Arabidopsis thaliana: one gene and its partners. The protein of the gene in region 4 purifies or fractionates together with the protein of the main gene of each other region. This does not show direct contact. Each region holds a gene or a part of one and is shown on either strand. Other genes may lie near its edges. The genes, in order: PDE345, GDH1, GDH2 and MTHFR1.

Region 1 (7,620 bases), on a different chromosome or scaffold from region 4:
AGATCGAACAACAATCCGCTGCAAATTTAATTTAAAGACGGTTCGTAGTTAGTCCACAACAATTTTTATTTTTTATTTTTTGGAATCCGCACTATTACATAATATAATTTATAAATAGTAAATAAAACACGATTTGGTATATAGACATTTTTGTCTTCTTAAACCGCTATAACCATTCAAAGTCTAAGTTTTAGTTATTTTCTTGTCGATTACTCATATATATTGATCAGTTTTCAGAATTTCCCAACATGGAAAAAGTATCAATTGTCGACCTTTGTTATATTATTTACAAATCCCCCAGCTAGCTAGTTAAATAGTATGTTTCAATTATTTTACTCATTCATAGTTTCATTTAATTATATGATATACTTAAGTGTAGAACATTGGAGAAGCATTTTTGGAATATAAAAAGGAAGTGGGCGGTTTGTGATTAATTCTTAATTAACAACTGACAGGGAACCAACTAATTAAATTATCCATCCTTTGTGAGAGATTGTTTAATATATAAAGCAATTCATAATTTGTGAACTTGACCAAGATTTTAGCACGATCCTCGCTTCGCTTCTTGTCTCCCTTGTGACGCATATCTAATATAAACATAAATTCATTATGTATCATGTATGTATGATCTTAGTTCTATATTGACGCAAGAAAATTCAAGTATTTGTTCACTTCGTGCTACCTATGAATGTACATAAATTTTTTTTAAAAAAATATTTGTTACTAACGATCATATAAGATAGTATTAAGTTATTCAGAAAACATAATTAAAATAGAAATTGAAGGTGTAGGTGTGTGGTTTAGTCATCGATATAGCCAACCAGTGACAACCACCTCGACTCTCTTTGACCTAATTATTTGACCACTCCTTCCACTTTACATCATAAAATCTGAAACCACTTACCATCTCTCGTCACATAGCTAGCAGACGATCGTCTTCATTATGTGGTTGTGACTCTCATTCTAATGTAATCCTGGTAAAAATAGCATGCGAGTGTCTTATCGATCCTCGTTGTTTATATGATTAAATCATTTATTATAAAATAAACAAAACACAACTAATATTTTTTGCATTAAAAATTTAAAATATTTTAGGAGGAGTGATTGTTTCGACGAAAATATATTTTATATAGTATGAACATGAATGAGTAAAAGGTAACTCATTTTGGTGTGTGTGTCAAATTTTGATTTTAAGTTTTTTTTGTTTGTTTGTTAAGTGTATCAACGAATCTCTAGTTCTAGCTTTGATACCAACTGAAGTAGCGGAAGTTTTAATGGATAGAACTAGACATCCGTTGATTCCTCGGAATACCAGAAAACTAGAATTTTTTGGATCTGTTGATTCCTCAGAATAACAGAAACGAGAGAACGTAAGGAATTCGTTGATTCTCTTCGAATACCGAATCCTACATCTTTTTATAACCGTTGAAATCTTTCAAGATCTACCGAAAGCAAGGAATTAGAGAATACTCTTCTCTGAAAAGGTAAAAGCTTAATTTTATTAATCAATTAACTGAATACAATTTTAAGTTCAAAAGTCTTAATTATAATAAATCCAAAATTTTAGAAAATTCATAAAACAATAAATAAAAATTATCTAAATAATTAAATAAAAATATGAGGAAATAATAAAGACAATTTGAAATTATCCAAATATATACTGCATTAGGTAGCATGCGGCTTGCAAGACTATAGTATTTGTTTTAGAAACTATAGGTCTATTAGCTAGACAGAATTAAGAGCTATAGAAAAGTTGTTAAAATTGATAATGCGATGCTTTTTCACATAACTCAAGAAAACCAAATCAAGTTCCGATCCATCATTGTTTGTCGACCAAGGGATGATCAGTCGATAGGTCCACGTACGTTGTTGTTTAAATGAAAATAGTTAACATGGATGTAAATTTAATAAGTAAACAATGAAAATGACAAATGAAGTAGAGAAGATGGAGAAAACAGGACCAAGGGCTTGTAAAAGAATTGCCAAATAAACAACAACGTGGTCCTATCACCTTCTGCTTCTCCCTACGCACCAACCAGTCAACCATACTCAATAGGTTTCATTACAAGACAAATAACACACTCTCTTTTGTCTTTTCTCTTTTTTCGAATGGGAAACACTGACTAGCTTTGTTTGTATATTTAAATCGTTTCTAACAGAGAGAGCGTGGCGAAGTGTGAACACAAACACCTAGAAAGATCTGAGAGTCAATTCTTCTGGGTGACATATGCATGTGAACTGTATGAAGACGCGTTTTGGGGTTTATCGTTTAAAAATCATTAGATATGTGACTGACCAAAGTGTTAATCAAAGATCTGCACCAACACCTTTTACATATACTATATTCTAATACGTAGAGGCAGCGTAGAACACTCTAGAAGAAGTACTAGGTGAATTATGATCGATATGCCATTCATCTGAGAGCAGAGAATGGAACTTTACGCATGTTTAATTAAAACAACTTTCAAACTTGTCTTAAAATATGAAAATTACTAGTTCCTACTCTGATTAAGATAAGATTGGCATTATATTCATATTCTTGTACCTAATATATAATTGAAGCACTTGAACATATTTAGTCATATAGTCTTGAATTTTGTTGTTGTTTTTCCCTTTTTTTGTGGGGTCAAACTGAGTTGCTGTAAATTTGAACATACATATGAATATGCATTTAAATTGTGGCCAACAGTTTTAGAAAACTGTTATCAAATCAAAGATACTTTAAAAATACAAAAAAGTAGTGTAAGATACAAGAAAGAAAAAGTTGCCACTTTCTCATGTCGCATATATATAACGTTTCTCGGAACTTGCATTTTCTCTCTTCTTGTTTACACCTTCCTCGCCTGTTACGAGTAACACCAATATTTGGACTTATTGGATGGTTGCCTTAATAAAAAGGAAAAAAAAAAAGAAAAAGACCCAAGAACACCAAAGCTGTCGTGGGCTCTTATTGTTTATCTGAAACTAAGCCCTATTACTATTGGGCCCAAAAATCAATTACGTAAAAGAGTTTGCCTGTTATATAAGTTGTTTACTATTGTGGCCCAACAGATAAAAAAGGGAATATCCGGCCCATTCTCTTTCATCACACTCCTTGAAGAGGTGATAGGTCATGTAATTTGATTAATTAAGAAAAACGATTGAGTTAGACGAAGAGGCAATGGTAGGAGAAGGATAGTTTGGGTAGACGAAACGGTAGAGTTTTGGTTATTCTCAGATTCTTGTTGTTGAGAGACTGATGAACTACTAGAAAAAATTACCAGTATCTCCCTCAAGGTTAAAAGCGTCATTTACGGTAAATTGGGGAATAAAATGGTAAAGAGAAGGAGGCTTTTTGGTGGTGGGAGTAGGTGATGCCAAAGTAGACGACTACTAATAGTAGTAAACAAAACCTTTGGCTTTAACACTCTCCTCCAAATCCCAGATCTCTCTCTGTCTCTGTCCCGCGGAGTCCCCGAGAGATTGATCACCATCACTTTTGTACCTTCCTTGTACTACCTATGGCGTCTGCTAGCTTCGTTAAGCCTAACACCCTCTCTTCTCCATGGATCGGCCAACGCTCCTTTGCTCACACCTCTGCTTCTTCTTCTCCTCCTCCTCGAGTCTCCTTCGCGATCCGCGCCGGTGCTTACTCCGACGAGCTTGTTAAAACCGCCGTGAGTATCCTCCTTATCCTCTCTCTCTCTTTGATGCTTTATTAGTTTGGATTCGTTTCCGTAATTCTCAAAGTCAAACGTAGAGTGAGATTCTCTGATTATTGCGTAATAGAAAAGCATTGCATCCCCTGGGAGAGGTATCTTGGCGATCGATGAGTCCAATGCAACCTGTGGGAAGAGGCTTGCTTCTATCGGCTTGGATAACACCGAGGACAACCGTCAGGCCTACAGGCAACTTCTGCTTACCACTCCTGGCCTCGGCGATTACATCTCTGGTTCCATTCTCTTCGAGGAGACTCTTTACCAGTCCACCAAGGACGGTAAGACCTTTGTCGATTGCTTGCGCGATGCCAACATCGTCCCTGGCATCAAAGTTGACAAGGTATTTTTTATCCATTTATTCTGTCATCATCATCATAAGTAGTTGAGTTTTTATGTGTGTTGAGTGAAGTGTTGACAATGCAATCCACCGCGTAGGGCTTGTCTCCCCTAGCCGGTTCCAACGAAGAGTCTTGGTGCCAAGGCTTGGATGGATTGGCCTCACGCTCTGCTGAGTACTACAAGCAAGGCGCTCGTTTTGCCAAGTGGTATGTCATATATTTCACCATGTTATCTTACATATGGTATTAACTCTTTGGTTTGATGTGAAAATGCTCTTCCTAGTTTTGATGTTTGTGTGTGTTTGTCTAGGAGGACAGTGGTGAGTGTTCCCTGCGGTCCTTCAGCACTGGCTGTGAAGGAAGCTGCGTGGGGGCTGGCTCGCTATGCAGCCATCTCTCAGGATAATGGTCTTGTCCCCATTGTGGAGCCAGAGATCCTTCTGGACGGGGACCACCCAATAGAGAGGACTCTGGAGGTGGCAGAGAAAGTGTGGTCAGAGGTGTTCTTCTACTTGGCACAGAACAACGTCATGTTTGAGGGCATTCTGTTGAAGCCGAGCATGGTCACCCCAGGCGCTGAGCACAAGAACAAGGCCTCTCCCGAGACCGTTGCAGATTTCACGCTCACCATGCTGAAAAGGAGGGTTCCTCCGGCTGTCCCAGGGATCATGTTTCTGTCAGGAGGACAATCAGAGGCAGAGGCCACACTGAACCTGAACGCCATGAACCAGAGCCCAAACCCATGGCATGTGTCCTTCTCATACGCACGTGCCCTGCAGAACTCCGTGCTCAGAACATGGCAAGGCAAGCCGGAGAAGATTGAGGCCTCGCAGAAGGCACTGTTGGTGAGGGCAAAGGCCAACTCACTGGCCCAGCTCGGCAAATACTCAGCCGAGGGAGAGAACGAGGATGCCAAGAAAGGAATGTTTGTCAAGGGTTACACCTACTGATTTGTTAATTTCAGAGATCGTAATAAGGATTAAGGACCATTGTTGTCTTTTGTTTTTTTTTCCCTTTTTTGTTTTGTCTCTGAGAAAGAAAGACAGTCACGAGTCACGATCATATCATATATGTATGTGAGCAACGTGAAAACATCCTCTTAAATCTATATTTCCTCTCAGAAAGACTGATTACTGTTTGACTGCAAAACCAAATTGTGTAATTCTTCTTTTAAGTTTACAAAATTTTTGGAGGGCGATTAGGTAAAATTGGCATAGTTGCAAGTTCAGTGTTAGAAGAAGCAGCGGAGATCTCTCTCCCTCTTTATAGTTTACTTTTGACTTACAGTAGAGAGAGTTTAGAGTTTTGAATTTGGCTCCGATGACGAATCGTCTTCCTCCTTCGCTGTACGTTCCGCCTCACCAGCGCCTTGGTTCCGATTACGGCTTCAATCCTGTTCCTCTCTCTCCAGTTCGCTATGTCTCCGCTTATGATGACCGCGTTTCCGAGGATCGCCAACCGGTTAACTTCTTCTTCATCTTTTTTTCATGCATCTCTGAGCTTTTTGATTGATGCTCTTACAATGGCGATTCTAGTTTTCGATTTGCTCTCGAGTAGCATTTTATAAAAATCCCTTTATCTTTCTACTGGAACCATATCAATTTGCAGCAGGAGGGTACCTTTCACTGTGCCGACTTGGATGATTGGAATAAGAGATTTTCAATGCTTTTGAAAGATTCTTTAAAGCAAGAAGTTATTTCCAGGGAGAAAAAAGATAGACGGGATTTTGATAAACTTGCTGCTCTGGCTACAACCCTGGGATTGTATAGGTACATCAATCATGCTGCTCCTTTCTTTCTTCTTTCTCACTAGTACAACCATTTCTGTTTCTTTTTTGCAGTCATGCATATGCTAAGGTTGTTGTCTTCAGTAAGATCCCACTCCCCAACTATAGGTTTGATTTAGATGACAAGAAGCCACAGAGGGAGGTATTATCCGCTGCTCCTCACTCTCTTCTCTTACACTTAACGCAAGACGGCTTGTTTTTCTTTAAAGAGCAGATATATACAAAAATATTTACAGGTGAATTTGCATACTGACCTTCTTCAAAGAGTTGAAGCTTACCTCACAGAATACCTCAGTAAAAGCTCTAATAGGATAGATAGAGTCCCTGCCAATTCCGTCTCAAGAACTAGTAGCATTAGCAGTACTGATGAATGGTTTTCTGAGCAACCACTACCCATCTCTGCCACCAAAATTCTTTGGCAAAGGAGTTTGCAGCTGCGTGATCGACAACAATATTGGCAGGTTCTGTTTATATTAGGTCCTTAATATATTCTTCATCTATGCTTTTTCATCGTCCATTTAGTTTTGATGTGTTCCATTGATTAGGCATCCGTAGAAGGCCAAAGAATGTTGGATTCTCGTACAAGTCTCCCTGCTTTCAAGCAAAGGCATTCAGTATTGACAGCTATTTCACAAAATCAGGTCTGCACAGAAGATAACTGGAAGCATGCTTGAGCTCAGTCGTGTGACATCTGTGTCAAATAGAAAATCGAATATCAACTTGACGGTCGTCTTGGTTTTGTATTAGTTCCGATTACCCACATAAATTTTCGTATTGCAGGTTATTGTTATCTCTGGAGAAACAGGTTGCGGCAAGACCACACAAATCCCGCAGTTTATTTTAGAATCCGAGATTGAAGCAAACCGTGGAGCTTTTTCCAGTATCATATGTACTCAACCAAGGAGAATATCTGCTATGTCTGTTTCGGAGAGGGTTGCTTACGAGAGAGGAGAGCAGTTGGGTGAATCTGTGAGTTTCACCCTGCATGCTCCTATATCTAGTTAGCGTGGACCCTTCTTATACTTTGAATTCCTCTCTTTTTTACTGATTAAGCTCTCTTGCTTTTTTCTTACTTTTTTGTGAAGGTTGGATATAAAGTTCGATTGGAAGGTGTTAAAGGAAGAGATACCCGCTTACTCTTCTGCACCACAGGCATTTTGTTGAGACGCTTGTTGGTAGATAGAAATTTAAGAGGAGTTACTCATGTTATCGTGGATGAAATTCATGAGCGTGGAATGAATGAAGGTATGTATACTTTTGCTATCAAGCAGCTCCTCATTTTTAGCTTAACTTGATTTAGGTGTCTTACTATATTACTTTTGTATTTTAGATTTCCTTCTTATCATTCTTAAGGATCTGCTATCTCGTCGCTCAGAGCTTAAGCTGATTTTGATGAGTGCAACTTTAGATGCGGAGCTTTTCTCGTCATACTTTGGTGGGGCAGGTGTCATTTATATTCCAGTAAGTAAGAAACATATTTGTTTATCCTCTTTAGAACATTTCAAGATATTTAATCTTTTGCTGAGTTCAATATTCCTTGGATCTATATGCTCTGATTAACCCCAGTGAAACTACTAATATTGTCTTCTTCACTATAGGGATTTACATATCCAGTTCGTAGTCATTTCCTAGAGGATATTCTGGAGATGACCCGGTACAGATTGACTCCATACAATCAAATTGATGATTATGGTCAAGAAAGAACGTGGAAGATGAACAAACAGATCCCAAAAAAACGGAAGAGCCAAATTACCTTTGTCGTTGAGGTATCTAGAAAAAGAATATCAGCAGCTTAACT
Region 2 (7,809 bases), on a different chromosome or scaffold from region 4:
GGTTCTAAACAGCTCGTGATTTGTAACCCTACTTTGAAACGATTCTTCCCTTTACCTGAGCCTCAAGGCACCGGTGACGAATACAACGTAGGAGGGTTTCTGGGATATGAACCGATAGAGGGTAAATACAAAGCATTGTGCATTGTCAGAGGATGGAACACTCAAGTTCTTACATTGGAAATTCAAGAATCATGGAGAGTAACCAAACCTGGCTATACACATTGGCCTACTAAAGATACTGGACGATGCATTAATGGAGTTATCTACTATAAAGCTATTATATTTGATAGGGTTCCAAGGCATGTTATATTTGGCTTTGATCTCAGATATGAAGAGTTTACACATATTGAGTTTCCGATGCGTAATTATGACCGCTTTCTTATGGTATCTTATGAGGGAAGGTTGGCTTTGATAAGTTCCACTAGCTCTGTTGTTGAAATCTGGAGTTTGGAGGATGCAGGGAATCGAAAATGGTCGTATGAACAGTTTCATTTATGTCTTCCTCCCAACACAAGTCTGAAGGGTGTTATTGATGCTGGTGAGCTTATTTACACAGGATTTAGTTTGAATAGATCGTTCTGTGTTGTGTATTTTGATCCTAAGAAAAACAATATCAGAGAAACCAAGTTTCAAGGAATTGCGGATAACCAGATTTGGCAACCTGATAGACTTGGATTTGATCTTGTGAATGACTTTTATGTATTACCAAATCACATTGAGAGTTTCATCTCGTTTTAAGAGATTTCATCTTTTTGCATGGAATGACACTATATATTTCTGAAGTGTTCTTCAGATCTTTTTTTGTATCCACTGATTGATTGATCCCACTGGAGATCCCAATATGTTTTAATGATGATACTACATATTCTAGAGACTTAATAGAAACTTTATAAAACTATACATGGAGAGACTGTAATATGTGTTTTTGAGATTGAACCTACGATTCCTCTGTTCTGTTTCTAGCAATTTCCATGTGATCCTTTTCTCAAAAATAGAAAAGAGACTTTTGTCCTAAAGTTAAACAAGTACAGAAGAAGTACTTGAAATCTTCACTCAGACGATTAGAGCTTAGAGCATACGAAGATTAGCCTTAGTTACTTGCAGTATGAATTCAACATTTTGAGACATGGATCTCTGTAAAATTGACCAATATAGTGGTTTTATTATGGTACCTTATGAGAAAAGATTAGCCTGGATAGCCACAAATTCATTGATATTGGAGGACTTGGCTAAATTTGGGCGCTATTAGTCTATTACTAATGCTAGTGAATTTATTGTGTCATGAACTTTGATATTATTAGCAGTTTTAAGAGCCCTCAGGACAATAACATTTGGTAATGAATGTAATAACATCCCTTACATATTAGTGTTATAACACTATCTAGTTTACTCTCAATTTGGATGTGAGAGACCAATAATCATAATTCATAACAACTGATTTTGAGAAGGGTTCTGTTTTGTTTTCCAAAGAATGACACATAGCTAATTATATATGCAAGTTTATGATTCTCTGATAGATTCTTCTTGTTATGATTATCCGTTCACATTGAAGGGCTTTGTCATAATTTGATTTTTCTTTAGTTTGAATATATCGTAAGTCCTAAACATGCATGTCTTATTAAACAATGTGGGCTCTGCTCTGAAGACTATTGCCTACATTTATGCTATCTACTCAATCCCTTAGGAGTTATGGCATTTAGTTTCCAGCTGATGATATGTAGAACATTCATAAGCGAGCTCAAGATTCTACAATACGTGTATAAAAGATGAAGCCTAAGCTACTACTAGGCTGCATCGGTCAAAACACACAAGCCTTGTCTTTTTGTTTCTTTTTCTTACAAAAACTTTGTCTCCTACAGTGACTTCACCACCAACACCATCACTGACAAACACTAATAATGAAAGACCAAATTCGTATCACAGAAAGATAAGACTGAAAAATCAAAATGTTTCAATAGCATTAGCCTCCAGAAGAAATAACAACAGTCGTTGTACTTGTATCCTAGCTAAAAGCAAAATGTAATTGATTTATTGCGAATTAAACTCTATCTTGTTACAAACTTTAACAAAAGTTTTAATATTTTGAATTCCGTACATGTAAATGGAAGCATATTAATTGGGAAAACAAAAGAAACATAGTGGATAAGATTGTTTACAAGTCAACACACACCAATTTAGAAAAATCAAAGAAATCCCGATTTGATGCGAACATGACGACGCAACCATATCTCTCCAAATCAAAAGATTATGTGTGTCACATTCCCCACTAATTTCACTTATATCTAGCATAAGATGCCATATAATATACATGTAGTATGTAACGTTTTGAGAATGTTCTTATTCGGCGAGATTATTTTTCTGACAATACATAGCACAATGTTTAGTTTTCCCAAACTATATAATTGGAAAATTTTCCAATGACATCTCAAATATGTCGACATATCCAACCGTAATTCCGTAAATAGGAACAAAAACATCCAAAGAATTTAAGTCTAGTTGATCTCAAATTTTAGGCAAGTTGCAAATAAACACAAGTATATTTTAGTTGAATTATACAACTAAACTCAAAAGTACATGTTGTTCCAGAAATTAAACAGATAGACAGTTAGTTGGTAAAGATTTAATTAGTTGATTCAAAAAAGAAAAAAATTTCTCGAGTTATCTTAAAGTATGTTTGTCTTAACTTATCAAAATTATATCTAAAACCCACTTAAAGGCTTAAACCATGATTATTGTGTCTTGTCTTTTTTTGTAATTAAATTACTTAATCAGCTCCACCGTAATCAGCTGGACCTCCACTGAATCTTACCCAAACATATCGATCACGTGCCTGTGTATAAATAAATACATACACACTTAACAAGTTACAATCAGACTGACACCAATCTTCCTCTTTAACAGTCGTTTTATTACAGCGTTCTGATCAAAACTCCAGTGAAAGTTCAAAGTACACAGAGAGAAACAAAAAAAGAAGAAGAAGAAGTTGAAGAAGAAGAAGCCATGAATGCTTTAGCAGCAACAAACAGAAACTTCAAGTTAGCTGCTAGGCTTCTTGGTCTGGATTCTAAGCTCGAGAAAAGTCTTCTCATCCCCTTCCGAGAAATCAAGGTTCGCAAATTTTCACTCCTTTCTTAACCTAATTAACCTTGATCCGCTGATTTTGTGCCTTCGCCGGCGCCGGAGACGATTCGTCGCGGTGGATTGTAGTGAAAAATGATTACTGAATGTTTAGGGGCATTTCGAAACCCGACCCGCTTTTTTGTGGATCCAGTTACTTCAATCCGGTTGCTGAATTATATAACCGGAACAAACCAATTTAAATCAACCGGTTCTGGTATTTTTGTAGGTGGAATGTACCATACCGAAAGACGATGGTACACTAGCATCATTCGTTGGGTTCAGAGTTCAACACGACAATGCAAGAGGTCCCATGAAAGGTGGAATCAGATATCATCCTGAGGTTTTTGACCTTTTGACTTTGACCTTTTGAACCAAAACTCAAATGTAACAAACCAGTATACAATTTCGGTTTTGGTATATGATGCAAACCGGTTATCGTTTTCTTGCAGGTTGATCCGGATGAAGTGAACGCATTGGCTCAGCTCATGACATGGAAAACAGCAGTGGCTAAGATTCCTTACGGAGGAGCTAAAGGAGGGATTGGTTGTGATCCTAGCAAGCTCAGTATCTCCGAGCTCGAGCGGTTGACTCGAGTTTTCACTCAGAAGATTCATGATCTCATTGGGATTCATACTGATGTTCCAGCTCCAGATATGGGCACTGGTCCTCAGGTTCTTAAACTCTCTTCAGAACGTTTCCAAAATGTTCTGTGTTTTTTTTTGAAACCATCTTTCAACTTTTTCCCTTGGTGGAATTTGCAGACAATGGCTTGGATTCTTGATGAATACTCTAAGTTTCATGGATACTCGCCTGCAGTTGTGACTGGAAAACCCATTGTAAGTAAAGAATAATCACAATCTTGTTTTGCTAATGACTGGTTTAACCACCTGAATGTTTAATGATGTTTATGAACCAGGATCTTGGTGGATCGCTAGGGAGAGACGCGGCTACTGGAAGAGGAGTGATGTTTGGTACCGAAGCTTTGCTTAACGAGCACGGAAAGACCATATCAGGGCAGCGTTTTGTCATCCAGGTGACCTTTCTTTTATTGCGGTTTCCTGCGAGCCAAAGAAACTTTTCTTATTCTGGTTTACATATTGGTTCATTAGGGATTTGGTAATGTGGGTTCTTGGGCGGCAAAGCTGATAAGTGAAAAGGGTGGGAAGATTGTTGCCGTGAGTGACATTACCGGAGCAATCAAGAACAAGGATGGTATCGATATCCCGGCCTTGCTCAAGCATACTAAAGAACACAGAGGTGTCAAAGGGTTTGATGGTGCAGATCCGATCGATCCAAACTCCATACTGGTTGAGGATTGTGATATCCTCGTCCCTGCAGCACTTGGTGGTGTCATCAACAGGTTAGAGCTTTTTTTTGCTACAAAAGCTTACATATTGTTTTGAAACTTTTTAAAAACTATTAGTTGGATTTTGGTTTGAAGGGAGAATGCGAATGAGATTAAAGCAAAGTTCATCATAGAAGCAGCTAATCATCCAACTGATCCGGACGCGGATGAGGTTTGATTGTCTTCTTCTTTGACTTTGGAGTTTCTCATTGCGAATCTCTGTAATGGAGATTCTTGTATTACAGATCCTAAGTAAGAAAGGTGTGGTTATTCTCCCGGACATATATGCAAACTCTGGAGGAGTCACTGTAAGTTACTTCGAATGGGTTCAGGTATGTATGAGTCTCTCAACAACTTACCTTTGACAGACCAAGTACTCGAACAAAACCGATTTTGATCAGATTAGTTGTTTCCGGTAATGTGCAGAACATTCAAGGCTTTATGTGGGAGGAAGAGAAGGTGAACGATGAGCTAAAGACTTACATGACTCGCTCTTTCAAGGACTTGAAAGAGATGTGCAAAACTCACTCTTGCGATCTCCGGATGGGAGCTTTCACACTCGGTGTTAATCGTGTGGCTCAAGCTACCATTCTCAGAGGCTGGGGAGCTTAAAGATTATCTAATCTCTTATGCAATCTCTTTAGCAGCTCCTGAATAAGAATTGAGCCAAACTTTAATCTACTTTTTGTTTTATCCTCCTACTTTGGCTTAGAGGTCATCCTGAGTTAACAGATATGTGTTTACAAGTACTAGAAGACGCTTCTGTATGTAATAAAACCTTGGACTCTAATAGTTAATGAGCTTTTTTACTCTCTTGTTAATAAAACCAAGGTATCAAAAAACTAGAACCAAGAAAACAGTTATCATCAATATGGTTCTTAAAAAAAGCAATTTAAAGATAGCTTAAGGCTATAGAATATGAATCTAGGCCCTCCCTCGGCCTCTGAAGCCTCCACGAGGACCACCTCTTGGTTGAAACCCTCTGCTAGCACCTCTGGGAGCACCTCTACCTCTGAAATTGCCTCTACCACGGGGAGGCCCTCTACCACGGGGAGGGACTCTTCCTTCACCACGGCCTCCTGATTGTCCCCTGCAAGAAGAACAGAACAAAGACTTTCGTTACAGACTTTTTCTAACACTTGAACAAGTTTCTTCTACTACTTCAAGGGACCTAAGAATTGGTAACAAGGGTTAAGAAGTGTAGCTTACTTTGGTTGAGGAAGGAATCTTGATAGAGGTAAAAGCTTCTCAGGGCTAATGAAGAACTTATCGCCTTGACTATATGAGGTAGCTACAATACCTTCCCTCATTTTGATAGAAAATAGCTGAAAAAGTAAGAACCAATGCTTTGTATATTAGTGAGCAAGGCCAGTGAACGAAGAAGACAACAGAGAGAGAGAGATAACACATACAGATTCATTAATAGGACCAAAGATTTCATCTACTCTCCCAATCTGGGTCTTGTTTTGTAGGTAGATTGGGGCATTGAAATGTGGGATTTTCACATTGGAGAGCTTGAACACAGCATCTCCCTCACAAGCATGGAGAAAAGTTGCAACTTCTGTATAACACCACCAAGAAAGAAACTCTATCATAACAGAGACAATTCACAAGTTTGTTCCTTTTCAATTAACTTCAAAACTGTCACAAGAATCCAACAAAATCCTAATAACAGGAAAACAAATCATCAATCAGAATACAAAAATTTTCTTTTTGTCAAATTTCAGCAACAAACGCTCATTAATGTCAAAGCTGACAACTTTTTTCAATAATTTTTATCTGCTTGATTGGTAAGAATGAGAGAATCGTCAAAGAGGGTTGAAAACGAACCAACGACTTCGCTGGGAGGTCCTTCGTCATAATTACCACCACCAAAGCGTCCACGTCCACGTCCACGTCCACGTCCACGTCCGCCGTTATCTCTTCCTCCCCTTCCCCTGAAGCTGCCGCCGCCACGTGGTGGTCTCATCTTTTTGGTTTTGGTTTCTTCTATCGCTCTCTGCTCCTCAGAGGTTTTTATTTAGGGTTTCAGCGAGGGAAGCAATTGCCAATTGGAGTGTTGAAGAAGTAGTTGTGACTCTTAATAACGAAAAGAAAAAAAAGAAGGTAAACCACTAGGGTTTTCAGCAATCCCAGACCGGGTTACGACTCGTTAAACCGGGAAGAGATAAAATTTTCTTTTAGTAAATTTGTCAATAATTTTTGTAAAAATTTAACAAAAGATTTGAATAACAATGAGATATTATTTTATTTATTTATGCTTATGTCGGTTTAAGTTTGGTTTGGCTTTCTCACATTTCATTTATTTTAAACACTTGAAAGTTGAAACAAAGACTCAAACAAGGCAAGTGATACCAAAAAGTAAGCACACTTGAAGGCTTAAAAAGCCCTCAAAACTTTCTATTAAAACTAATTCAACTTCTCTGTTACCATCTTTTCTATCCTTTTATACTTCTACATACATACGAACACGCATCCATTTCATTACATTTAACAAACAGGTTGCGTTACCTTCTTGATCGTATTATGATCCTTATCCTCCAATTGTCTTCTTGGCTTTCATATGATGCTAAGTACCTCAGCAAACTGTCCTCCCAAAGCATATTGATGCAATGTACAGATTTTTCGCCCATTTTTCCTGCAAAATCAACCAACACCGGGCAGGTCCTGATCAGTATTATGGAAACAAAGCAAAAGTCCAATCTTTGTTCAAAACTAAAGAAACCCACCTTGACATGAGTGCTTGGAAAGGCGGTGGTGCGAAGAGTCTCTTGAGTTTCATCCATCATTTTACGTTTTGGTACGCTTAATATGAAAGCTGCTTGATCTGCAGTTGCTGCCATTGATGTTATCCTATACCCACTTTCCCACCTCCTATGTATTCCATCGCTTGGGTACAAAAAGTCGAGCTCCACGACCTTTTCACACAATACCAACCAAGAGTATCAGGAAAAATGTCAAAATGTTTAAAGATTATGTCATTCTAAGGTGACGGGATTGAAACCTACCTGATCAGAGTAGCCAGAATTCCTCGACATTACCACACCCCAACGATTCCCAGCAGTTGTCATGGAGGTTACATGGAAATCTTCTTTCCATTTCTTGTTTATCCACTTGAAAGGAAAAGAGTCGCTGACTTTGTAAGATTGCTGAGTATAAGACGTTCCTACCAATTTACAACAAGCACAAAATTAGTAAAGAAGACTCCATGTTATATGGTTATAATGAAAGTACGACATTTTCTATAGTCAAGTGTTTGTGTGACATAAAAATTTGCAGATTACTACCATTAACACCAACCTTTTGACATAACAACTAATGAGTTCCCGTTATCTGAACCAGCT
Region 3 (7,890 bases), on a different chromosome or scaffold from region 4:
ACTTGGGTAGGGCTTGGATGAGCCACCCTAAGGTCGTCTACTCCTACACTGAAATGTCTAGTGTCGTCAACCCATCTGGATGGCAAGAGAACAGAGTGCGTGCGCATGACAAGTAAGTGTATCAATTTCACATTATATGATTATGTGATAAGAAACCAACACTAATATATAAGCATAATTTAGTCATTTCCAATTGAGTTAAACAGTCATAATTTCTCACATAGAGATATTGCAATAGTTTCAGTTTGCCCCAAAAAGAAAAGATATTGCAATAGTTTTTACAAGTTTAAAATGTGATTTGTGACAGTGCGAACCAACCATTAATAAGTAATATTTTTTATATAATGAATGATAGGACGGTGTTCTATGGAGAATACATGTGCACGGGACCAGGATCACACAAAGCGAAGAGAGTGGCACACACACAAGACATTGACAACAAAGAAGCTAGCCAATTCCTTACCCTCGGCTACATCAAGGGCTCCAAATGGCTTCTACCTCCTCCCGCTTACTAAACAGACCCAATCATCACTAAAATTCTGTATATGTTACAATTGTACGTTTTGTTTTCGAAGTATCCTCTCTTCCTGTATATAATGGAGGAGTAGAGACTTGTGTAATTTTGGTTTCATGATAATAAAATACTCAATGGTTCACAAATGAGAAGCGGATAAGAATTCAAACATACTGATTATTGTGCATGGATAGAGTGACGCGACTGATTAATGTTATGAATGACAGTATATTTGTATGCGAAATTGCGAACACATTAACTATAAATATTTTCTAGTTAATGTTAAAATGATTGGGGACAATTTCTAAACAAAAAATAATATGGACATTACTTTCTATCATTTTTTATGTTTGATATTAGAACTCGTATTTTGGTAGAAAATTGTTAACTTGTGATTTAAAAAAAAAAACTGAAGAATCACATTTTTAGCAGATGGTTGTGAAATTACGTTTTTGGTTAAAAATTGTAGATTCACAATTTTGTAAAGGAAAATCACGGATAGCTTTTTATTGGTGGAACATTTTGTAATCTTTTTCTATTATTATAAAAACTTGATAATTGACATTACCGGTCTAGTAGAAATAAAACACAAAATTTGAAGAGATATATATAAGTTCGATCGAAAATCACGGCCAAATGTGGGAAGCGTCATTGACGTAAAGCAAATCCAAATTTAGGAAGTGTCATTTTAATTAACATTGAACTACTAACCACTCCTGTCATGTCTAGCAAATTTACATTCAAACATAAATTGTGGTTTAGGTCCTTTTCAGGTAAATCTATAGATAGATATATAGCAAATTAACAACATAGTTCCTTTTGGATGAGTCAATATTCAACATGTTGATTTTGCCAACTGTAAATTTTCCTTTTCGTTGATGGTTACAGATGAATGTGCGAATTTATCTCCATTCAAAATTACTGAATTTGTAATAATAACAAAATCAGATATTCAAAAATGCTTCAAGAAATATAAACCACAGACGAGAATAGTAAAAATGAGATATGTCCGGTCAGAGATCAACAAGCAAGACAAGTATAAAAACCCCTTCAAGGCTTCTTCATTTCTTCCATTTTTAAAAGTAAATAAGATAGTAATATTAACACTTAGTTTTTCTTTTCCTTTTCATTATTTTCTTTTATTTTGTAACAGAAATAAAAGAAAATAAAAGAAAATAAAAAGATGGGTTACATTTCAATGTCCGTGGTTGCATTCCTTGTTGTTTTTGCTTCGCCGGTGGTTCTAGCCACCGATACAGATCCGATTCCAGAAAACAGAGCCCAAATCCCGCAATGGTTTAAAACAAACGTTAAACCATATTCCCAGAGAAAGGGCACGCTAGACCCCGCCCTCGAAGCTGCTGAAGCAGCGCGACAAATTATCACCGTAAGTTACTAAAATCTGATTTTTGGTTTGGTTCGGTTCATATCGATTTGACCGAATTAAGTAGGCGTTGTTAAATTTTTGCTTATATGAATAGTTTACAAATGTATGTTAACTCGAGTGAAAAATGAAAATCTCATTGCAGGTGAATCAAAAAGGTGGCGCTAATTTCAAGACATTAAACGAAGCTATCAAGAGCATTCCGACAGGAAACAAGAACCGTGTGATCATCAAGTTGGCTCCTGGTGTATACAATGAGAAGGTCACAATCGACATAGCTCGACCATTCATTACATTGCTTGGTCAACCTGGTGCGGAAACGGTCTTGACTTACCACGGGACAGCCGCTCAGTACGGAACCGTTGAGAGTGCAACTCTTATCGTCTGGGCTGAATATTTCCAGGCAGCTCACCTCACCATTAAAGTATGAGAAGCATATCTATATTCGTTATACGTTACTACATTACGTTAGAGATTAATCGCTACTAATTAATTTGATTTTGTTATACTATAGAACACTGCTCCAATGCCGAAACCAGGTTCACAGGGACAAGCTCTAGCAATGAGGATCAACGCTGATAAGGCAGCTTTCTATAGTTGTAGATTCCATGGTTTTCAAGATACTCTCTGTGACGACAAGGGCAACCATTTCTTCAAGGATTGTTACATCGAAGGAACTTATGATTTTATCTTTGGAAGAGGAGCTTCCTTGTACTTGGTAACCTTAAAATTAAATATTAGACATCTTTTAACATGGTACACATATATATAGCATTTTTTTGATATTAATAGTACATATATTTGTATGTAAACTCGATAGAATACGCAATTGCACGCTGTTGGAGATGGATTAAGAGTGATCACAGCTCAAGGTAGACAAAGTGCAACCGAACAAAACGGATACACGTTCGTGCACTGCAAAGTCACTGGAACCGGAACCGGAATCTATTTGGGCAGGTCTTGGATGAGCCACCCTAAAGTCGTCTATGCTTTCACAGAGATGACCAGCGTGGTCAATCCATCTGGCTGGAGGGAGAACCTCAACCGCGGATATGACAAGTACGTAACATTTCATATCATCTCATTTACATATAGAACTACATTTTATATATATATTTGATTATAAACTGAATTTGATATTGTGTGTTGTATAAATACAGGACGGTGTTCTATGGAGAATACAAGTGTTTCGGACCAGGGTCACACTTAGAGAAGAGAGTGCCTTACACACAAGATATTGACAAAAACGAAGTTACGCCTTTCCTCACTCTTGGTTACATTAAGGGCTCCACATGGCTACTTCCTCCTCCTAAATACTGAAATTTTTCTTAAGACAACTTATTTGTTGTAACACCGTTCTTTAATTTATAATTGAAATGTTCCCATCTTTTTAGTTTCTTTATTTTTTTTTTGTATTGCTTAAGATATGAATTGATCAATATTTTTTCTACATATATAAATCTTCCAATTCATTCATTTCTATATATACCGGATGTTTGTGGTGTTTTTGTTTTCCTTTATTTAGAAATTCCTATAGGATATATATACAAAATTTGTTTTTGTAAAATATCATAATTATGTTCACACCCTATTGAGTTAATGATTTGTTTTTGTTTTTCTTATGTTAAACGTTCATGGTATATATGTTTAAAGTACCAACAAAAAGAAAGAGTCAATGTCTATCCATGATATATATGCTTTTATTAAACATTTTGATTATTTTAACCAAAAAAAAGTAGAACACACACATTTTCTAGATCTCATCATTTTAATAGTTCTAGTTGCAAATGTTAAACTTCAATATTTTTCGTATATATATGAATCAGCTTCTTCTTTCTTTAATTTTCTCGGCGAATTAGTATATTTTAATCCATAAGAGATGCATGCATAAATTTTATTGAATTAAGTGAAGACCCAATGGTCAAAAGAAAAAAAAAATATAGATATGCACCGACGAAGCCGCCGCGAGTAGCCGCGTCACAGCCAGGTCAGCAAAAAGTCGCCATCCAATTAAAGAAGAGAAGGATAGCAACTTCTGCAACGTGTTCTGCTGAGTCTGACTTAGATTCGGAATCTGGTTCTTACGATTTAATGACCATCCGATTTTCAACGGCTAAGATTGTTTAGAACCATTAGTACAATATTGTCACATCCGCAGAGAATCCACGCCCCTAAATGAGCTTTACTTCCATGTTTTTCGCATCTCCTCGTGATAACATCGACGATCAATTTTTTTTCTTTCACGTTTTGTTGATATATATAAATACGTTTTCGGAAATGTTTTAAATAAATATTGTTGGTCATATTCTATAGTATATTCGGATTAAAATCATTTTTAATTTCACTAATTATGGAGAGATATTCCTAAAATGCCTTAGTATTTAAAGAATGCGAGTCAATTGCACTAGATGCATGTTTTTATTTTGTTTCTAACGTGGACCTTATGTAAGCAGGTCTGAAGTTTATCCACAATTTGCTGTACTAATTGATAACATTTGTATATGTATTCCAAATATGAAATGTCATTAAATGTCTCATAAAAGTGATAATACAATACTGTATTTGGGAAAAATAAATGAGTCATACAACATAGTAATCAACAAGGTAAAAAGTCATATAACGCCGTCCCCAAAAACAGTCTGTCCCAGCTCCATCCTAATTGGGTATCCACGTCCCGATCCTGTCACAGGACACCAGTAAGAAAACGGAAACCGAAAATTTCAAGAAACCAATATCGTTTTCTTTTCCTCAATTAAAGTTATAAAAAAAAAAAAATCCCTGAAAATATCACATGGTTTTTTAAAACAATTAGTGTTAAAATCAAAATTTACTACCTTCTCCACCGTTATTTACGAATTTACCATGTTGGTATATTCTTAAAAACTTTTGTAGTTCTTGTAATTACTAAATTTTTTTTCCGTAATTTTTTCGATTATTATTTATAACTTTCCAACTCAAGCCAATATTTTTTTAGTAAATTTTAAAGGAATGTTAATCTTCTAAAGATATGTTTGACTTAAAAAGGAGTTAAAAATGATGAGATAGCCAAAAAAAAGATTAGAGAAATCCAAATAAATAATAAGGGGTAAAAGAGTCATTGCAGTCGATAATTAGTCTCCGTCTGACGTAGGATACGTCAAAAATATCCGATCTCATTCAAATTACGCTTTCTCTTCTTTCCCCTACAAATACTCAATTCTTTCTTCTTCAATTCATCACAACAAATCAAAAACTCCAAGTTCTTACCTTTTTCCCATTTACAATCGGTAAATTTCTCCGATCACGAGATACAAATTTCACTTTCTGATATCTTGGATCTTCCGATCACTTTGAATTTTTTGGTTTGTTGATTTTTTTTTTTTTTTTGTTCCATAAAGTTCGAATTTTTTATAGAGAAGAAACCATGAATGCTTTAGCTGCAACAAACAGAAACTTCCGTCATGCATCTCGAATCCTGGGTTTGGATTCGAAGATCGAGAGAAGTCTTATGATCCCATTTAGAGAAATCAAGGTTTGACTTTTTTTTTTCCTTTTGAGGTTTTACTCTTTTGTTTCGTTTTTGGGGAAAATTCGTCTCAATCTTTGTTTGGATTTTTTTACTTTTGATTTCAGGTTGAGTGTACGATTCCTAAAGACGATGGCACTCTGGTTTCATACATCGGATTTAGGGTTCAACATGACAATGCTCGTGGACCCATGAAAGGTGGAATCAGATATCATCCTGAGGTAGGGTCTTTTATCATTTGTTCTTGATCTAGGATTTAAAGTTGACAACTTTGGGGGTTATAGATTGAATCTAGGGATTTGAATTAAGGGTTTTGATTTTTTGGTTTGAAGGTTGATCCAGATGAAGTTAACGCACTAGCTCAGCTGATGACTTGGAAGACTGCTGTAGCAGATATTCCATATGGTGGTGCTAAAGGTGGAATTGGATGTAGTCCTCGTGACTTGAGTTTGAGCGAGCTTGAGAGGTTGACTCGTGTGTTTACACAGAAGATTCATGATCTTATCGGTATTCATACCGATGTGCCTGCTCCTGATATGGGCACTAACGCTCAAACCATGGCTTGGATTCTTGATGAGTACTCCAAGTTTCATGGTCATTCCCCTGCTGTTGTCACTGGAAAGCCCATTGTAAGGCTTTTAAGATTTTGGTTATATCATTCTGAGTCCGGAATCTGTTGTTTATTCTATGGATGTTTTCTTGATTTGAATTAATTCGATGTTTCTATGTGATTACCATAGTTTTGAGCTTTTTGGTATAGAAGTAACTGTTGGATCACTTTGGTGTAGGATCTTGGTGGTTCATTAGGTAGGGAAGCTGCCACAGGTCGTGGTGTAGTATTTGCCACCGAAGCTCTTCTTGCTGAGTACGGGAAATCGATTCAGGGTTTGACATTTGTTATTCAAGTAAAACCATTATCAGCTAATCTCAGATCTCAAGCTTTATTGTGTATATGATATAAGACAGAAATGTTGAGAGATTTGGATGATATGTGACAGGGTTTTGGGAATGTTGGAACATGGGCTGCGAAGCTGATCCACGAGAAAGGCGGTAAAGTGGTTGCAGTAAGCGACATTACTGGTGCAATCAGGAACCCTGAAGGTATCGACATCAACGCTCTCATAAAACACAAGGACGCAACTGGAAGTCTCAATGATTTCAATGGTGGAGACGCTATGAATTCAGATGAATTGCTCATTCATGAGTGTGATGTTCTCATTCCATGCGCTCTTGGTGGTGTCCTGAACAAGTCAGTTCAAAAACTTCACTCATCAAATCAACACCAATCATAGAGATTCACTTTCTGATTCTTATATTTCCCAATATTTGTTCAGGGAAAATGCTGGAGATGTGAAGGCAAAGTTTATAGTAGAGGCAGCTAACCATCCAACAGATCCAGATGCTGATGAGGTAATGCATCGATAACACAAGAACTCATCCCTGAAACTCCGAAAATAAAAATCCTAATCTGTTTGGTTTTGGCAGATTCTGTCGAAGAAAGGAGTGATTATACTTCCAGATATCTACGCAAACGCAGGAGGAGTGACAGTGAGTTACTTCGAGTGGGTGCAGAACATTCAAGGATTCATGTGGGAAGAGGAAAAAGTGAACTTGGAGCTGCAAAAATACATGACTCGAGCCTTTCACAACATCAAGACAATGTGCCATACTCATTCTTGCAACCTCCGTATGGGAGCTTTCACTCTTGGAGTTAACCGAGTCGCTCGAGCCACCCAGTTGCGTGGTTGGGAAGCTTAATTCAGTTGAATCCCCCTTATATACTCTGTTTCTTGCTTGCTCTGTTTTCCATTTTTTTTTTTTTGGTTTCATTGTTACTGAAAATCATTGAGCTTTCCGAAATGGAAAAGGAAACAAATGGATTGAATAAAAACTAACAAATTGGAATAAAATATATGATTGGATTAAACGAGAGTTTCAAAGCAGAGGATGAAATATTCCAGGAAAAAAAAAGCCCAAATTTTAGTTTCATCAGTTGTGTGGCTTGCTACTTCATTATTATTATTATTAAAACACAAATAGTGAAACCAAAACATTTATTAAAATCGGTTACATATTACTGGAATTCAATTTGAAGTTCTCAAAAAAATTGTTACATTTCCGTTAAAAGGTTCCATTTGTTAGATGATCTAGTATTCCAATGTATCAAACAGCACTGGTGACTTGACTATTACGATGATCTTCGTCGTACAAATTCTTTAGAAGATTCTTATGAAAACTTCTAACTAAAAAAGCAGGTTCCAAAAGTGGAGAGTACATCGTCCTCATAACCATCTCTCTTTGAAGTGAAGAACAATAGTCATTATAAGTAGAAATTGTCACATTCAATTGGAATCCAATTCCAAATAAGAAGTCCAGCTCTAACAAGTTCATCTCCTCTGTGGTTATTCCTCCAACTTTCGCATAGAATGCATTATTGTAACACCTATATTTTATAAAAATTCAGATAATATTTGTTAGAAAATTGTC
Region 4 (8,795 bases):
TGTTAAAGATACATAATTTTAGACCATGCATTAAGAAATCTGAAGCCTCCAGCAAAATGATAATAATAACTACCTGTGCGAAGAGCATCTGGCCGCTTCGAAGCATGCAACCCCAGTTTACATCACTAGTATAAGTTGTGTCTCCAATAGGCTCAAAACCTGGAAATGCCACAGTGAGTATTCTGTCAACAGTTTTATGCTGGTTTGAGTTTGAGGGGGGGGAGCATACAAACCTCTACGATATGTCATCAGTATTAAGGATGAAAAATCTTGTCTGAATGCGGCCAATACACGGCCAGCATCTGCTTCTTCTGAGGATTCACCCTCTGAGATTTTATAACAGACACCCAGGAGCCATATCTCACTAGTACTGCTGGAAATACCCGTCCTACTCGGCCCTAATACACGGTCTTGAAATCTCCTAATTGCCCCGCTAGCCATAGAAGCTGTTTTTAAAATAACTGTCCAACTACTATGTGTGGTGCAAACTGGGTTATGCCCTGAAGTTGAAGCTTCCCTACACAGTTGAGAAACTGGGGAGGAAGAGGCAACCACATCCGAGCATAACGTCAAGTTTGACTTGTTATCACTAGACGCGGAATCTGAAACTAGAGATGTCGGGGATGATATATCACGCTTTTCACTTGTGCTTGATGAAGAACATTTTGAAGGAACAAATCTATCACATATAGCCTTCATTACCTAGTCATTAAGCACCAAATACAACATGTCTGTCTCATAGAAGAAAACTCATACCCAGAGAATCAACCTTTGTCTGCAATAATAAAGCATAAGAGATAAAAATAGATCAGGCTAAAATTGAACAGAGATACCTCTAATAATTACTTCTCAAAGTGAGCTAATGCATTATCTTCTATAATCTCACTATTACACTCCATTTCAATATGCCCCAAAAATCGAATTTAGGAATCAAAGATGATCTAATGAACACAACGAGTAAGATAAAGGTACTCGAATCCGATATGCACAATCTCGAAAATGAAGAAATCCACAGCAGCAATAGAAATTCGAGACACAATCATGCAATAAGTAAAAGAACTCCGACGCAATTTCTCCAGGGCGGATCTCTACAGTAATCTCAAATGATCAATCAGTCAACTATAAAATTGGCAACTAAAATCTCGTATATATACACCAGAAAGCATAAGAATCAAAAGGAACAAGAGTAAGAGCTCGATTAATCACTAAACAAACGCAGAGAGTTTCATAATCCGATCCGAGGAACGAAATTTTCACAACTTTTGGAATTTCTAGCAGAATATAAAGATAGATCACCTGAAAAAACAAATCGGATCGTTGAGGCTGACTTGATACGACCTCCGGCGACGAAGACGAGAACGAGAGTGCGAATTAACGGAGACGAAGTTTGAATTGCGGAAGATCGATTTCGTGTAACCTTACGAAATAAAAGTTTCGTGTTCTCTCTCTCTCTCTTCTCTATTTTACGTAATTATATCTTTTAAGCTTCGAATATGGATCATTACATTTTATATTAGCTTCGAATATGTTTTTCCATTGGCAGTATAATTTTGTCACTAGTTCGTATTTGTCAAATGTATCAGTGTTAAACTAAATTAAACCGGCGACTTAAACCAAATAAATTTTACCGGCGACTTAAACCAAGTAAAGCAAATCGAATATATTGTTCAAAAAAATTCCTTGTGCGTTGAATATCTTGATATACAGAATATCAATTTTACGGTAAAAAGGAGTAATTATTTAGTTACCAATTGTGAATGATATAACTGTCTGGAATAAATGCAAATGACTAGTAATAAATTAATTATTTTGTTACCAAAAACAAAATGGGTTTGATTGTATTGGGCCAGTCCAAAAATCTGAAGCCCATTTATGTCTTTAAACGGATGAATGGAAATAAATCGATATTACTCTTTTACCCTTTTAAGCCGATTTATTGCCTTTTGCGCAGAAGGATTTCAAAATCCTCAAAAGGAAAAACAGCAACTGCCGCTCTTTCTCCGTTACGTCTTTTCACTCTCTGCAAATCGGATCCGCCACTACAAATTCATCATCATCCTCGTCTTCTTCTTCTCTTCAAATATTAGGCTTTGAAAAGTTTCAACATCAAATTTAGATCTTTCCCAATTAATCCGGTCTATTGCCATGTCTTCCTCGAAGAAGGTTACGTTCGATTCACAATCTTCATTTCTTCTCTTTATGAAATTATTTCTCGTATGATCTTAGTTTTTCTCTGATTTCAGGGTTCCGATCGGAATCAAATCAGGAAGTCGTTGAGGAAGTTAAAAAAGCAGATTGGGGAATTGGAGAAACTTGAATCTCCGGATCGGTTGAATAATGTGAAGCCTATCTTCATCAAGCGCAGTATCCTTTTCTGTTGTCACAAGATGCTATTTTTTTTTGTCATACAAAACTGTGGAATATTATTTGTTTTCACATGACGAGCTTGGTTTTAAGATATATACTTGAAGAAGAAACTCAAGAAGAAAGTTAAGGATCATGGCATATTCTGTTCTTGCTCCTTGGATCCTGGTTCTTCAACTCTTTGTGGCAGCGATTGCAATTGTGGGTATGTTCCATATCTGATCACAAGTACTTGTCTGACTAAATATTCGTGGCGGCATTGGTTCTGATTGTTGATGTATTGTTGGTTTTTTCCTTGATGTATAGGATTCTACTCTCAAGCTGTTCGTCTAGTTGCAAATGCAGTAGTGAATGCACCAACAAGCCGTTCCAACAACGACATATCAAGAAGATGAAGTTAGTTCAGGTTGGTTTATTACAATTTGTTGTCTTATATAAAGAATGCATTTTCAACGTTAGTTGAATAAGTTGTTGCTTGCAGACAGAGAAATGTGGATATGGGATTGTAGCAGATGAAGATATCAACTCAGGAGAGTTTATCATTGAATATGTGGGAGAAGGTGATGTTATTACCTTTGGTTTCTCATATATAGTTAGAGTACTGTTGTGATTACTCTGCTTACTCTTATCAATCTTCTTATATCCATTTCTTATTGTAGTTATTGACGACAAGATTTGTGAAGAAAGGCTTTGGAAGCTGAATCATAAGGTCGAGACAAATTTCTATTTGTGTCAGATAAACTGGAACATGGTGATTGATGCTACTCACAAGGGTAATAAATCAAGATACATCAATCACAGCTGCAGTCCTAACACAGAGATGCAGAAATGGTTCGTTTGTAACTTATTATCCATCTTCTCACTTTTCTTCTGTTCAAAACAATTGAGCAAAGTTATAGATCATGAACCTTTTTGTTCCCATTTAGGATAATTGATGGCGAGACAAGAATCGGCATTTTTGCTACCCGTTTCATAAACAAAGGCGAGCAGTTGACTTACGATTACCAGTAAGAACATTTCCTTGCATCACAACAATAAAGTATTTGAATGTAAATGTTTAGTTGTGTGATACTAATAAATATAGCAGGTTTGTTCAGTTTGGTGCAGATCAAGATTGCTACTGTGGTGCAGTGTGTTGCAGAAAAAAGCTAGGTGCAAAACCTTGCAAAACTAAGAACACAACCTTAGAAGAAGCTGTGAAGCCAGTGGCATGTAAAGTGACCTGGAAAACGCCCAAGGTAAATTTGAGCTTTGCCTTACTTTTTTTTAGTCATCCTGTGATTGCTAAACAGTAACTTGTCCTTTCAAACATATGGTTAGGGAAAAACTCGAGGGAGACGCATTGCTGGTTAGTATTAATTATTTGGCTCGATTATCGACAAGCTTCTCAATTCAGAGGTAAGAGAAACCAATTTGGATGCGTCAGGACAAGCTTGGAACAATCATAGCCAGAGGAAAATATGTTGCCGGGACTGCATTGGTGCGGTGATCTGGTTAGCACGTCCCATGAACCAAAAGTATAACTATCTTTCTTTTTTTCTCAAAAACCAATTTCTTCCACACCAAAGAACAGTATTACACGGCTCAGATGAAGGTTTTGACTCTAGTAGTTGACATTTTTCAGGTGTTTTGGAATCATTACACAATATGATGAGTTTTAAATAAGCACTTGGTATCTATTCATTTGACTTATTGCCAACACTGTTGTTCACATTCTATCTCAGTTTACGAAATCTAAAGAATGAACATTGACTTTGTCCAGGTCATGTATGAGGATGGTGTTACCGAGATCATCGACATGTGCAGAGAAGTTTGGAAGGTTGTAACTGCTTGATATTGTGACTGTTCCAAGTCTGATTTCATTCCCTTACATAGGATTACACTTGAATTGTCAAGAAATTTTGTAACCAACCAAACCGTGTCGGTTGGCAAATAGGTTTAGACTTTGTTGTTGTATGTATCCAACTTGAATCAGTAGTTCAGTAGTACATTACACTGTATGTGGAATCTTTGGACCAAATAAAGAAAAGTGTTTTTGGATTTTAAACCGGGGTTTTGGTTATTTAAGAGACAAAAAATCTCATACCCGGTTTGCTCTGTCTATAACTCGAGTTTGTTAAGCACGTGATTCTCCTTGGCAATGCTGCTATATCACTAGCCTACTGTCCGTTGTAGCGGATGATACCCACGCGCCGGTGACCGACAGTGGATTTGCCGTTACCGGTGGTAGGTAATGTGGGGTCGTAGCTCACCTACCTAACTAAATTTTCTTTTTCTTATGTTTAGTTGGAAAATAAGAAAAATATAAAAACTAGTTTTTTGTAAAGGAAAAGGATAAAATTACTATTATGGAAAAGATAAATTCCAAAAGTGAGGAAATATGTATTTAGCACAATAAAAAGTGATAGCAATGTGAGAAAAAAAACGTGATAACAGAAATGCTGTGCTAAATTTGGATTTCTTTGTTGAAAATATATTTACATTGATAAATATTATGTAATTAGAAAAAGGAAAATTCAAAATAGATGTGTAGAAAAACAACAATGTTGATAATATAATTTTTTATCTAAAGTTTTTACCGGTTACCAGTTACCACCAAAGTTGTTGGATCTCTATCTTCATTTTTAGAGATTAGTATAAATGAGTGAGTAAACAAACCAGAGAGACCAAACTTGCCTCTCCACCACCACTTCCTCTACCTATCTAATTCCGAATCTGGATTTGGATTTGGATCTCATTTCGATTCAACGATGAAGGTGGTTGATAAGATCAAATCCGTGACGGAGCAAGGCCAAACAGCTTTCTCCTTCGAGTTTTTCCCACCGAAGACAGAAGATGGCGTCGAGAATCTCTTTGAACGAATGGATCGATTGGTCTCTTATGGACCTACCTTCTGCGATATCACTTGGGGTGCTGGTGGATCCACAGCTGATCTCACTCTCGAGATTGCTTCTAGGATGCAGAATGTTATCTGCGTCGAGACTATGATGCATCTCACTTGTACCAACATGCCGATTGAGAAGATTGATCACGCGCTTGAGACGATTAGATCTAATGGAATTCAGAATGTGCTTGCTCTTAGAGGAGATCCTCCTCATGGACAAGATAAGTTTGTTCAGGTTGAAGGAGGATTTGCTTGTGCTTTGGATCTGGTGAATCACATTCGTAGCAAGTATGGTGATTACTTTGGAATCACTGTTGCTGGTTATCCTGGTAATCAAAATGCTCCCTTTTAATCAATTTCATTGTTGGTTTCGTTGTTGTGATTTTGATCTCTAATTGGGGATTTGTGTGTTATGAATCAGAGGCTCATCCGGATGTTATTGAAGCTGATGGACTTGCTACTCCTGAATCTTATCAGAGTGATCTTGCTTACTTGAAGAAAAAGGTTCAGATTTGTGTCTTGGTTTTGAATTTTGTGTGTTGAATTGTTTGTGTTGTCTTGATTTGATGGGTTTAGTGGATTGTGGCTTGTGGTACAGGTTGATGCTGGAGCAGATTTGATTGTGACTCAGCTTTTCTATGATACTGATATATTCCTCAAGTTTGTGAATGATTGTCGGCAAATCGGGATTAATTGTCCCATTGTTCCTGGAATTATGCCTATTTCCAACTACAAGGGGTTCTTGCGTATGGCTGGTTTCTGTAAGACCAAGGTATGTTGTGATCTCTTTCATCTGTGTGATGATATGGCTTGCTCTGTAGACACATGTCGTCTTTGTGCTTAAAGGCTTTAAGATGAGATTGAGTTTACTGCATCTATCTAGTTGCTTGGTGATATATATATAGACCCTTGGTGATGATGCCTTATGACTAATGTGTTCAGATATCATTTTTCTTTGATTTATATTCCACTCATGATTCTATTATTGCATAGATACCCGCTGAGCTCACTGCTGCCTTAGAGCCTATTAAGGATAATGACGAGGCTGTTAAAGCCTATGGAATTCACTTTGCAACAGAAATGTGCAAAAAGATTTTGGCCCATGGAATCACTTCCCTTCATCTCTACACATTGAACGTGGACAAATCAGCTATTGGGATATTAATGGTTTTCTTCTCATTTCCTTCTAAATTGGTTTCTGTGTAGTAATATTTAACACATGGTATTGTGTATACCGGAGAACCTAACAGTGGTGCTCAAATTGCAGAACCTTGGTCTGATTGATGAGTCAAAAATTTCTCGTTCTCTACCTTGGAGACGCCCTGCAAATGTTTTCCGTACTAAGGAAGATGTTCGCCCAATTTTCTGGTAACCTGCATTTTGTTTCTCTTGCTCGGAGTATTATTACAGATCTTTAACTTTAAGATATATTTGCGGAGGAATAATACTGTTACTTCATTTTTTATCTTTGCAGGGCAAACCGTCCAAAGAGCTACATATCTAGAACAAAGGGCTGGAATGACTTCCCACATGGACGTTGGGGTGATTCACACAGTGCAGCATACAGTACACTTTCGGATTATCAGGTACGTACCACATATTTATCAGTTTTCTGACATATCGACTTTATATTTTGAAAACTTGAATTCTGAAAGGCTTGTTTTCAGTTTGCCTTCTCAATTTGCTTAAATTGTATTTGCATATTGTTATTTAGCCCTACCATTATCACTTGTAAGAAGCTGCTTGCTTTGCTTGCCATCTCTTCTGCGTTTTTCATTGCCAATGAGTAGTGCTGATATAAATGCATGTGTTGATAGTTTGCGCGCCCAAAAGGACGTGACAAGAAGCTTCAGCAAGAATGGGTCGTCCCACTGAAAAGCATTGAAGATGTTCAAGAGGTAGGCTTTACTTTACGGACACTCGTACAAATTGTTTCGATCTCTTTCCCTCATACTCACTTGCACATTTTCATGTAAAAACTGTCACAAATCAGAAATTCAAAGAGCTCTGCATTGGAAACTTAAAAAGCAGCCCATGGTCTGAATTAGATGGACTCCAGCCAGAGACAAAGATCATAAATGAGCAACTCGGAAAAATCAACTCCAACGGTTTCCTGACCATTAATAGCCAACCATCAGTCAATGCAGCCAAATCCGATTCTCCAGCTATTGGTAAGAAAACTCAAACTTGTGATCACAAAGCATACCATAACGTTCCAAAAAAAAAAATCTTATTTGACTTGTGATTCATCTGTCATTTCTTAAAAACCTATTTAAACCCTCTAGAGCTTCTGTCTTAGCTTATAACATAATGTTTAAATTGCATTGGGAATATCTACTTGGCTTATAACAAAAATGTATAATTGCAATTGATACTTTGCAGGATGGGGTGGTCCTGGTGGTTACGTCTACCAGAAAGCTTATCTGGAGTTCTTCTGTTCAAAGGATAAGTTAGACACACTTGTGGAGAAATCCAAAGCTTTTCCTTCTATCACCTACATGGCCGTGAACAAATCAGAGAATTGGGTATCAAACACCGGTGAGTCCGATGTGAATGCAGTTACTTGGGGAGTGTTCCCAGCTAAGGAGGTTATTCAACCGACGATCGTGGATCCAGCCAGTTTCAAAGTCTGGAAAGACGAAGCGTTTGAGATTTGGTCAAGAAGCTGGGCTAACTTGTACCCAGAAGATGACCCTTCTAGAAAGTTGCTCGAGGAGGTAAAGAATCTTCTTCTTTTTTCTTCTCTTCTTTTCAGTGACCAGATTGGTTTAGCTGTAATGATGATGGTATGATCCAATCGAATATGCAGGTGAAGAACAGCTACTATTTGGTAAGCTTAGTGGACAACAATTACATCAATGGTGATATCTTCTCTGTCTTTGCTTGATCTCCGAGAAAACCACCGGCGAAGAGGAAACATTCGATTTCGAGATTTGTTTTGTACCTTTTAAAGTTATTTTTGATTCGTAATAACCTTACTTTGATGAATCAACAAAAACATCAGTTTGATTGCAATGAAAAAAATCGCCTTAGCGGTTTGTTCTTTCTCTCTTGTGTCAAAACAACATCACAAAATAGCTTTTAACAGAAATCAAGAAATGTTGGCATTTCTTAAAGACTTGGAAGTAACAAGACCAGAAGATGTCCGCATCAAATGCTCCTTAAGCATTGAAACACCAGACGCATCTGTCTTCAAAAGTGGTTGCACCAATTCCCACATCTTCTTCTTTTGAACCTGAAACAACAAAGAAAACACAGAACTTGAATATGCCATGACTTAAGTCTTGCAGTACTGAAATGATTAGTGCTTTGCAGGCTAAATGACCTTATTAGGAGGTGCAGGTTCAGGAAGCTGCTCGAGATCTTCTTCGTTACCAAACCAAACTCTATCTCCAGGAACAGAGCCTTCTGGTGGAACAAGAAGCTCAACATTTTCATGAGCTGCGTCAGATGCAGCTAAAAGCATACCACATGACTTAACCCCTCTCATATTCCTCGGCTTCAGATTAGCCAGCACCACCACTGATGCACCCTGCACAGAACCAAA

Evidence for each region.
Region 1: the proteins of MTHFR1 (region 4) and PDE345 fractionate together in Arabidopsis thaliana (co-fractionation; one large-scale study listed by BioGRID). This does not show direct contact.
Region 2: the proteins of MTHFR1 (region 4) and GDH1 fractionate together in Arabidopsis thaliana (co-fractionation; one large-scale study listed by BioGRID). This does not show direct contact.
Region 3: the proteins of MTHFR1 (region 4) and GDH2 fractionate together in Arabidopsis thaliana (co-fractionation; one large-scale study listed by BioGRID). This does not show direct contact.

What each region holds. Positions count from the first base shown.
Region 1 is NC_003071.7:92,372-99,991, reverse strand, and holds PDE345 (Aldolase superfamily protein), read left to right. Parts: upstream 1-3,128; 5' UTR 3,129-3,500; coding exon 3,501-3,656; intron 3,657-3,768; coding exon 3,769-4,038; intron 4,039-4,133; coding exon 4,134-4,243; intron 4,244-4,346; coding exon 4,347-4,986; 3' UTR 4,987-5,265; downstream 5,266-7,620. Other genes in the region: AT2G01130 (DEA(D/H)-box RNA helicase family protein), read left to right, coding at 5,357-5,497, 5,645-5,805, 5,877-5,964, 6,059-6,283, 6,368-6,463, 6,603-6,791, 6,908-7,067, 7,153-7,283 and 1 more. UniProt on the Arabidopsis thaliana protein: Plays a key role in glycolysis and gluconeogenesis.
Region 2 is NC_003076.8:6,003,172-6,010,980, forward strand, and holds GDH1 (glutamate dehydrogenase 1), read left to right. Parts: upstream 1-2,863; 5' UTR 2,864-3,000; coding exon 3,001-3,108; intron 3,109-3,346; coding exon 3,347-3,460; intron 3,461-3,569; coding exon 3,570-3,791; intron 3,792-3,881; coding exon 3,882-3,956; intron 3,957-4,036; coding exon 4,037-4,153; intron 4,154-4,229; coding exon 4,230-4,480; intron 4,481-4,561; coding exon 4,562-4,637; intron 4,638-4,710; coding exon 4,711-4,797; intron 4,798-4,891; coding exon 4,892-5,077; 3' UTR 5,078-5,389; downstream 5,390-7,809. Other genes in the region: AT5G18160 (F-box and associated interaction domains-containing protein), read left to right, coding at 1-738; AT5G18180 (H/ACA ribonucleoprotein complex, subunit Gar1/Naf1 protein), read right to left, coding at 5,390-5,555, 5,675-5,790, 5,878-6,026, 6,296-6,434; AT5G18190 (Protein kinase family protein), read right to left, coding at 7,044-7,103, 7,195-7,383, 7,474-7,631, 7,766-7,809.
Region 3 is NC_003076.8:2,350,852-2,358,741, forward strand, and holds GDH2 (glutamate dehydrogenase 2), read left to right. Parts: upstream 1-4,907; 5' UTR 4,908-5,301; coding exon 5,302-5,409; intron 5,410-5,510; coding exon 5,511-5,624; intron 5,625-5,735; coding exon 5,736-6,032; intron 6,033-6,191; coding exon 6,192-6,308; intron 6,309-6,401; coding exon 6,402-6,652; coding exon of another isoform or gene 6,653-6,695; exon of another isoform or gene 6,696-6,737; coding exon 6,738-6,813; exon of another isoform or gene 6,814-6,888; coding exon 6,889-7,161; 3' UTR 7,162-7,390; downstream 7,391-7,890. Other genes in the region: AT5G07420 (Pectin lyase-like superfamily protein), read left to right, coding at 1-112, 356-515; AT5G07430 (Pectin lyase-like superfamily protein), read left to right, coding at 1,698-1,901, 2,044-2,322, 2,413-2,616, 2,719-2,957, 3,059-3,218; CYCP4;3 (cyclin p4;3), read right to left, coding at 7,567-7,846.
Region 4 is NC_003074.8:22,146,189-22,154,983, forward strand, and holds MTHFR1 (methylenetetrahydrofolate reductase 1), read left to right. Parts: upstream 1-4,975; 5' UTR 4,976-5,114; coding exon 5,115-5,577; intron 5,578-5,669; coding exon 5,670-5,752; intron 5,753-5,846; coding exon 5,847-6,020; exon of another isoform or gene 6,021-6,241; coding exon 6,242-6,415; intron 6,416-6,515; coding exon 6,516-6,616; intron 6,617-6,722; coding exon 6,723-6,834; intron 6,835-7,065; coding exon 7,066-7,146; coding exon of another isoform or gene 7,147-7,224; exon of another isoform or gene 7,225-7,241; coding exon 7,242-7,419; intron 7,420-7,630; coding exon 7,631-7,965; intron 7,966-8,055; exon of another isoform or gene 8,056-8,057; coding exon 8,058-8,135; 3' UTR 8,136-8,295; downstream 8,296-8,795. Other genes in the region: AT3G59950 (Peptidase family C54 protein), read right to left, coding at 74-159, 234-699; histone-lysine N-methyltransferase ASHH4, read left to right, coding at 2,146-2,163, 2,244-2,364, 2,458-2,569, 2,671-2,770, 2,846-2,924, 3,024-3,195, 3,291-3,371, 3,452-3,602 and 3 more; AT3G59980 (Nucleic acid-binding, OB-fold-like protein), read right to left, coding at 8,340-8,483, 8,574-8,780. UniProt on the Arabidopsis thaliana protein: The probable reversibility of the MTHFR reaction in plants suggests that they can metabolize the methyl group of 5,10-methylenetetrahydrofolate to serine, sugars and starch.